Danio rerio: one gene and its partner. The protein of the gene in region 1 purifies or fractionates together with the protein of each later gene. This does not show direct contact. Links are inferred from orthologs where the notes say so. Each region holds a gene or a part of one and is shown on either strand. Other genes may lie near its edges. The genes, in order: yeats2 and zzz3.

The links.
Region 2: the proteins of yeats2 (region 1) and zzz3 purify together in Homo sapiens (affinity purification with mass spectrometry; 3 studies listed by BioGRID, with this or other methods). This does not show direct contact. The link is inferred for Danio rerio from reciprocal best matches to the Homo sapiens genes YEATS2 and ZZZ3.

What each region holds. Positions count from the first base shown.
Region 1 is NC_133177.1:47,779,446-47,783,266, reverse strand, and holds part of yeats2 (YEATS domain-containing protein 2), read right to left. Parts: intron 2,676-3,821; coding exon 2,564-2,675; intron 2,072-2,563; coding exon 2,027-2,071; intron 941-2,026; coding exon 745-940; intron 96-744; coding exon 1-95. UniProt on the Homo sapiens protein: Chromatin reader component of the ATAC complex, a complex with histone acetyltransferase activity on histones H3 and H4. YEATS2 specifically recognizes and binds histone H3 crotonylated at 'Lys-27' (H3K27cr).
Region 2 is NC_133177.1:9,147,880-9,152,205, reverse strand, and holds the start of zzz3 (ZZ-type zinc finger-containing protein 3), read right to left. Parts: upstream 2,868-4,326; coding exon 1,468-2,867; intron 1-1,467.

The DNA of each region.
Region 1 (3,821 bases):
TCCGTGGGAACCAAGTGTAATTTTTTCAGACCTGTTTGACTGTGAAGTTTGTTCCAAACATGAAGGACGCACTGACTCACTTTTGACAGTGACACCTGGGGAAGAAATAAATGAATGAGAAAAAAACGATTCTTTAAGAAGTATAATTTGGAGACAGTTTAAGTTGTCACAAGCACAAAAAGCATTGGCACATAATTTATTTGTGCAGGCAAAGAATAATAAACAGACGATTAAATCACAGCTTCCACTTCTCATGCAATAAAGTGCAAATATCCTACTAATCCTCTCTTTATAAAAAGGATAGAGCAAGTGGGTAAATATATAAAAGCTGTGGCCACATTAATTTGAGCAAGTAGTACACGACAGTCATTCACCATGTTTATGTACATAATAGAATATGTCTGTTTGAATTTATTATCTTATACAGGATGTTTTTAAATCGAGAGATAAAAAGGAGAGGGATAAAACAAGATGATGAAGCACTGATAAAAACAGTGACTGCTCCATCATATTTCACATTTCTGTACAGAGAGGTCAAGTTTTGATCTTCTATTGGTCTCACGCAATGACAAAATGCAAACTTGGGAGGTCAGAGTTCACCAAGCTTGAACTTTGGACATGCAAAACTTGTCACACGAGCTTGCGTTTCTGATCTAGAACATTCGCATACATATAAATGGACATCTAAGAGGTGAAATTCTTTTGTGTAGACACTGTAAAATGGACAACCACGAGTCTGTCTACCTCTTTCTGAGCTGTGTTGATCATCATGAGCAGGATGAGAGGGAGAGGAGTTTCTCCTAGAGCCATGGATAGTTGAGGAGGAGGAGCCAGATCCGCCTACGAATGCTGGATAAGAAGATGATGATGAGGATGATGAAGGGGCAGAGGGGATGAAGTCATCACCCAGTGAGTTCCTGTAGAGCTGAACATCCACCACCTTCAGAGGAAAAAGACAAAGCAATTGAAAAATGGCATTTAAAAAAAATTACAAATCTGAAAAATAAAACACCAATGTCAAAAAAAGGAGTTTAGAACTATAAAACCTCTGCACTTTTACTGAAGAAACCTTCTTCACAAATATTTGAGCATACAGTATATTCTGAAAAGTTGGTTGAAATACAATGTAATATCAAGGTCAGAACCTAGAAACTAGGATTTATTCCATTTCTTATTTTCTTAAAAGTGAACAACATCAATAAATCTTCAGCTGACACATTCACTCATACTTTTCATTTACCTCACTGACACTTGCACTAACCAAAACTGCAGATTTGTGCTCGCCATCATTTTGAAGACTGACATTTTCATTACTATATTGACAGTCGAGACCTTGGCTTCTATTTTTAACAGAAGCTCATTTACACATGCTTATTGCACAAGTTAAACATTTCCTGTGTTAACCCAGAATTTAACCTAGAATTAAAAATGTACCATGAAATATCATTTTTATACTACACAAGACAAAATAATAAATGAAGTTACAGAAAATATCCAGTTATTAAAACATTAATATAGTGTTATTAATATTGTGTGTTGCCTACTTGAGCAGTAACGTCTGTTTGTAGCTTTTTGTGACAGTTGTGTTTCTTCAGGGTAGTACAGAATATAGGGGAAAAAAAAGCTTCCTTTAGCTTAGTCCCTTTATTTATTAGGGATCGCCACAGCGGAATGAACCGCCAACTTATTCAGCATATGTATTACACAGCGGATGCCCTGCCAGCTGCAACCCAGAACTGGAAAACACCCATACTCCCATTCACACACATACACTATGGCCAATTTAGTTTATTCAATTCACCTATACTGCATGTCTTGGGACTGTGGGGCAACAGTAAACTGACAACTGACAACCAGGACTCAAACCAGCAACTTTCTTGCTGCGAGGCGACAGTGCTAACCACTGAGCCATTGCGTCACCTCATAATTTTTCAACATATCTTGAATTTAAAAATAAAAAAACGTTCTATATAAACAAATTAGAATGGTCATATAAACTTATGAGTACAGCTTGTGTTTATCTTACCGTTTCAGCTCCCAAAGTCTGCAAACCTGTGTATGTTCGGTCAAGCTGATGGAGAAGAAATAAAAGAAGATTAACACTGACATCAAAAAACATTCAACAGTATTTGCAGTGGATGGCAGATGAAGTACTTCAACCCACAAACGTTTCTTTTTTCACACTTCATGCCCCTCTATTTAATCTTTTTTTTTTCTACCAAGAACAAAAGAGATTGCTGTGACAAGAGATAAAAGAAGAAAGGAAATCTAAACAGACAGACTGCTTTAAAAAAATCCACCTTTTTTACCTTTAGATTAGAAACACCATGTATAAAATAATGGATTCGTACAGACATATTCTATTCTGCACAATTCGCAGAAACAAAACATCCTCTCAGTGAATAATATCAAAGACATGGAGGTGGATGCAAGTCATCTACTGCTTGAATTCCTCACAGATGAAAGTACAAAGCAAAAGAAAGAGGGGGAAAAGGAAAGACGAAAAGGGCAACAAAAGGGGTTCAAAGACAGCGTGCGTGCAAGCGGTCAGCAAGTGTCTGACCTTTAAGTGGTGGATGATGTCGATACGTTTGTTCCGTTGGTCTTTAAAGTGGATCTGCACACGGACAGGAAACTCTCCCCACCCTCGACGGGTCAGGTGAAACGGTGGCTCACTAAACACACAGATTTGACAAATGCACCACAGTTAGAGATACAATCACCTCCTCTAGAGGGCACTGCCTGTTCTGTATTGATAAAAACTTAAAAATAGAATATTGCACCTTTGCTAAAACTGGAGTCATTTTTTTAAATGAAATACTTTAGTTGAATATTTAAGCAAAGCAAGAATTATTAAGACTCAAAGGTGACAATAAAAGCATTTTATTCCTGTTACAACATAAATACAGTTGTTGTAAATATTCTATTAACAATTTGTTGTAGTTTCTTCAATAAAATTAAGCTGCAAACGTTTTAAACATTTTTAATGATAAGAAACGTTTCTTGTATCAATATATTAAACATATTACAAAAGAATTTAAAAAATCCTACCAACTACAAACATGAGTGTACAATAAGACTCTTGAGTCTTGTTTATATCTGTTATCAAAAGGTTAGTTTACACCAAAAAATTAAATGTCTGTTACACATTACTAACCCTCATGTCATTCCAACCCCCCCAAGACCTTTGTTCATCTTCGGAATACAATTGAAAATATTTTGGATGAGATCTAAGAGCTCCATCATCCTCCATAGACAGTAATAGACTCAATTTGTTAAGAAAGTCTCCAATAACATCCTTAAAAATGTCCATGTGCCTGCAGTGGAATAAAGGATTAAGTCAAAAAGAAAATGAATAAAGTTATTATGAGGATAGAAGGTCTTGTGCTTTTGAAACAACATAAGAGTGAGTAATTAATAACATAACTTTCATTAAACTAACCCTTTAAGATGCATTTTTGTCAATCAGATCATCAGTGCACAACGCTAAACATGGGTGTAAACAGGGTTTTTATTTTTGAACAATGACAGCCTTCCTATACTGTTTACCATGCTACTCTGAATATTCGCTCTGAAATAGCATGCAAGTGTGGCTAAGTAATAAATGTAATTCCTGCACGGCGCTGGCTAAACACTAACTAACTGGCGAATGACATGAACTAGTGTGTTGTCTGTCTGCTGTTGTGACGCGGTGCGCACGCTCGCGATTTCGGGGGGTGTGGCTTTGAATCCCAGTCCCTCCCTGCTGTCCAAAGATAATATGCTAAGTGGTTAGCATTTTGGCAGATCACCTACTGCACCTTTAAACAGAACCTGAAGCA
Region 2 (4,326 bases), about 39 Mb from region 1:
AGGTACCTAAAAAGCAAACCGTACCACTTTTGGGTACCCTTTGCAAAGGGTACCTAGCACAACAAAAGGGTACCAAAGGGCGGAGCAAGACGTGCAACTAAACGCTACTGGTTTACAGAGATACGTTACACGCAAAAGCAGGAGAATAAAAACAAAGGAATCACCTTTTTTAAATACACAGCTGAGACATTACACCAGGGGTCACCAAACTTGTTCCTGAAGGGTCTGTGTACTGCAGATTTTAGCTCCAACCCTAATCAAATACATATGTACAATACTAGGTATACTTAAAACACTCAGGCAGGTGGATTAGGGCAAGTTGGAGCTAAACCCTGCAGGGACACTGGCCCTCCAGAACAAAGATTGGTGACCCCTGCACTAGACCATAATAATATATACATATAATAACGAACCATGGTTGACCTGAGCTCAAACAACCTTGTCGTTGTCTTGATGAACAGCCACAAAGCCAAAAAGAGCAGAATCTACCCTGTGGCCAGTAGTTATTTAAAGGGCGAGCAGTTTTGCTGTCTTGTGTGCGTTCGTCATGCTTCTATATTTGAAATAACAAACTTTTTGAGCTGATTATAATAACGTGCGCATGATTAATAAAGTGCTTCAGACATCCAATCCTTTCAGAAACAGACCAACGCGAGAGTATAGTGCGAAAAAACAAAAAAGAAGCCAGAAAAACAAAAAAACAAATGAGCAAATGATTCTTTCAGCAACCTAAACCATGAACAAACGACAATGTTTAACTACTATTGTCGCCTTTTGAACTATTATAAACTTATGAATAGCTTTTTTAACCGCAGGTGAAGATTAAAGATACAGATGAGAGGTTTGCACTGATTGCACAGCTTTACTTTGACATTTCCTCAAGCTAGAAGGACGTTGACTGAAACTTTCTGTTGAATACCATGCCCACCAAAAGAGTACCATTGGTACCCTTTTGGCAATGGAAACGCAACCCTGATAAAGGTGACTCGTACAGACCCGTACCGTACCGTCCGGCTTAGTGAAAACGCGCCATTATGAGGTTCCTTAAAGCAACAGATGAACGATACTATAGGTTTTTAAACATTGCTCTGGTCTGTCCAAACTACAGTTGCAGTCAGATTTTCAGATCACCAACAAAGTCCAATAATTTTAATAGAAATGTAGCTGATCTGAAAATCTGAATATGGATCAAAGATTTTTAATTTGTAGATTTTTTTTAACAGGTTCAAACTGGTGACAGACATAAAAGTCAACCAAAACATACTTCTTAACCTACAGTATTTCTGGCTGACAGTCGACTTAAGACTTCTCATAAAGCTACATGATTCATGTCCGTTGTATTCAAAGTTGGGTTGTTGGGTTTAAATGCTGGGTTTGGGGTAGCCAAAAGCAAATTTCTAATCAATAATCTTGAATCACCGCAATTATGAAAAAGATTCAAATGAAAGAACGTAAACCTAAACATACTCTTTGTTGTGTTTGAGAGCCAAGTGATCCGACTCAAAATAGTAGACATCTGGGTCCTCTTCCTCCTCCTCATCTTCCTCAGCCTGAGCAGCCAGCAGCTCTTTGGTGGATCTTGACTCTCTACTATCAGACACTCCGACCTCTCCGCTGACAACCTCTTCCTCGAAAAGTTCACTGTCTGCCTCGCAAGAAAGTCCCAGTGCATCATGGGAAGGGTCTTTATGGCTGGTGTCCTCTGAGAAAAAAGGAACCATTGTGGTCTCTTCCTTCAGTGAACCATTGTCTATGTGTGGGGAAGTGGGTTTGGGGGAGCTGGCTTTGAGCCCGCTACCAAAGGCAGCGCGGCGCGGTGAAGTCCTCAGGGTGTAGCGGTGTTCTTGAGGCTCTGTGAAGGAGGGGGGCTCGGCGGGCAGCTGAGAAGCAGCCAACAGCGTTTCTCCTGAGATATTCGAGCAGTTGTCAGAAGGGTCCTGTGGTTCAGCCTGAAAGTCACCATTGGTGCTCTCCTCTCTCACGAATTCATCCTGAGCCTGGCCAGCCTCTCCCACAACATCGACCTCTACCTCCATCTCGGGTTCCTGAGACAGCACAGCCTCAGCGGCTTCCTCAGGTGTGCAGTTCCTCTCACAGTCAATTTTAGGGCTGTCGGGCTCATTGGTTTGCTTGGGATGAGGGGATCTACAAGGCACAATAGGGTCGGGGGATGAGGGCGCAGCCTGGCTGCCATTTAACAGTGAGGGACTGCTGTTGAGTGTGGCAGGGGAGGCACAGGGCTCCACAGGTAAGGCCGCAACTTCTGAGTCCTCTCTATAGAGTTCAGCGAGGCCATTGGTTGCTTTGACGTTCTCGCTGACCTCTGGTTGAGGGGCGATCTCTTCTGTTGGGCCATCCTTTTTCTGATCAGCCTCTTTGTCTGAGGCTGAAGTATTATTTGATTTGGCGCCATCGTCATTTTCCTTCAATACAGCAGGATCGGGGCTCTCGGGTTTGAGAGAAGGCTCTTCCTCTGCCCCCTGTGATTCACCTGAGCGAGGACAGCGTTTGGCCCTCTTCAGGGCAGGTGAGGCTTCAGGCCCACACCCAGACCTTTGACGCTCACAGTTATCAAATTTGTCCGAATCTTCCTTCTCGGAGCTCGGCAAGCCACGTTTTCCACATGCAGGCACGGGTTCGCCCTCCGCTTTGCTCTCAGTTACCTTTCCAACCTGTGCTCCGGTCTGCTGGTGCTGCTGACAGTCCTGCTTCTTTTTGGGTGAGCGAGCTCTGGGCACGGGAGGCGGAGAGCTCTCTTCCGGCTGGGCGATGCTGCGGTTCCTGAGGGTTCGGCCACAAAAGTTCTCATCCAATCCATTTATCCCCACTGATGATCTTGTGACGCGCGAAGAGCGGGACGCGGCCATACTATGGTGGGTGCCTACTGTCTCCTCATCGTGGTGCTCTCTCCTCAGCAGCAGTATGTGGGCACCTGAGTGACACAATGAGAGACTAATTACAGACCGTTCAGATTCTAAATTACACAGGTTTAAGTGTATAACAAAAAATAGACAGAAAAGATGTAATCGGTTGCTGTTCCTGAAGAACATACATATTTGAGAATGCATGCAAATGTGCTCAGGTTAAATCAAAGTTGCTGCACAGCACTGAAATGTTCACAAGTTTAAACAGAGGTTAGTATATTCTGAAATGTAGTGGATTCATGTAAAACAAGTTCATAAGAAGTTACATTTACACACAGAAAAGTTTTAACTTTTAAAAATTAAAAAACAAAAACGTACGATAAAGCTGCAGAACTAACAGTTGAAAGATCATGTTCTTGATTAAAGACTAATGCTTACTTCACTGTAACCAATTGTATTATTATTGATATATAAACAGACTGCAGAAAACACATTCCTCCTATAACCTCTAGTACACTCAATTAAATTCCTTAAATACTCAATTACATTTGTGAAATACCACCAACACTTTCTCTTAGTACTTCATAGGTAAGAATTGTGTTTAGTACTGGAAGAGATTGAAATTGACAGCATATTTTGAAAACATAATTATAAAACTTCAATTTAATCGCTCGGAAAATAAACAATAAAACATTTCTGTGGTTGCTGCTTTGCTTTGTCATGGTAACATTTAAGTCCCCATTCAAGGGCTCTGCACCCTGGACTGAGCAAAGCATAGGAATATGGGTCTACTTGGGTGTTGAATTGTCTAATAATGATGTCAGGCTCAGGGGTGAAGCATAGGGCTGGGCGATAAAAATCGAGATCACAGGCTTTTATGACTAAACAAGCTCCAGAAGTTCTGGGAAACTGAGGTGGTAGAAGCGCAGTAGTTATGATTTCTTTAACTTGTATGAAAAAAATATAAATAAAAAATACGTGACCTGAGATGGTTAGGAGAAAGATTTAACTGTATTTATTAACTGAACACCATTGTCGATATCAGTAACAAAAAAAGTTTGGTATGTAGTTTCGGTATGAAGCGCTATAGTTTTATTAAAATGTGTCTGCCGAGCGCGCACCTTGGAAGCAATGCCAATAAGCTTAGAGTCAGTTTGTCATTTCCAAAGGAGGTGCACATGGGAGTGACGTACACATGGTGTGCGCATCACGTTAAGGAGCAACATGTTTGAGCACTTTCTAAAGATTGTAGTTCTGATTTTAATAAAGGGTTGGAACTTTGAAATTAATTCTTTTTTTTTATCTGATTCAAGTAATTGTTAGTTGCAGTCCCAAATCAATGATCATTCTCCCTTCTGTTAAGGCTTCTGTTTGCTAGCCAAAAAGAAAAATTATTGAAAACCTGGTGTCCAAGAAAATTAAAATATACCACTCAAAAACACATTCGGACCAAAGAAATTAA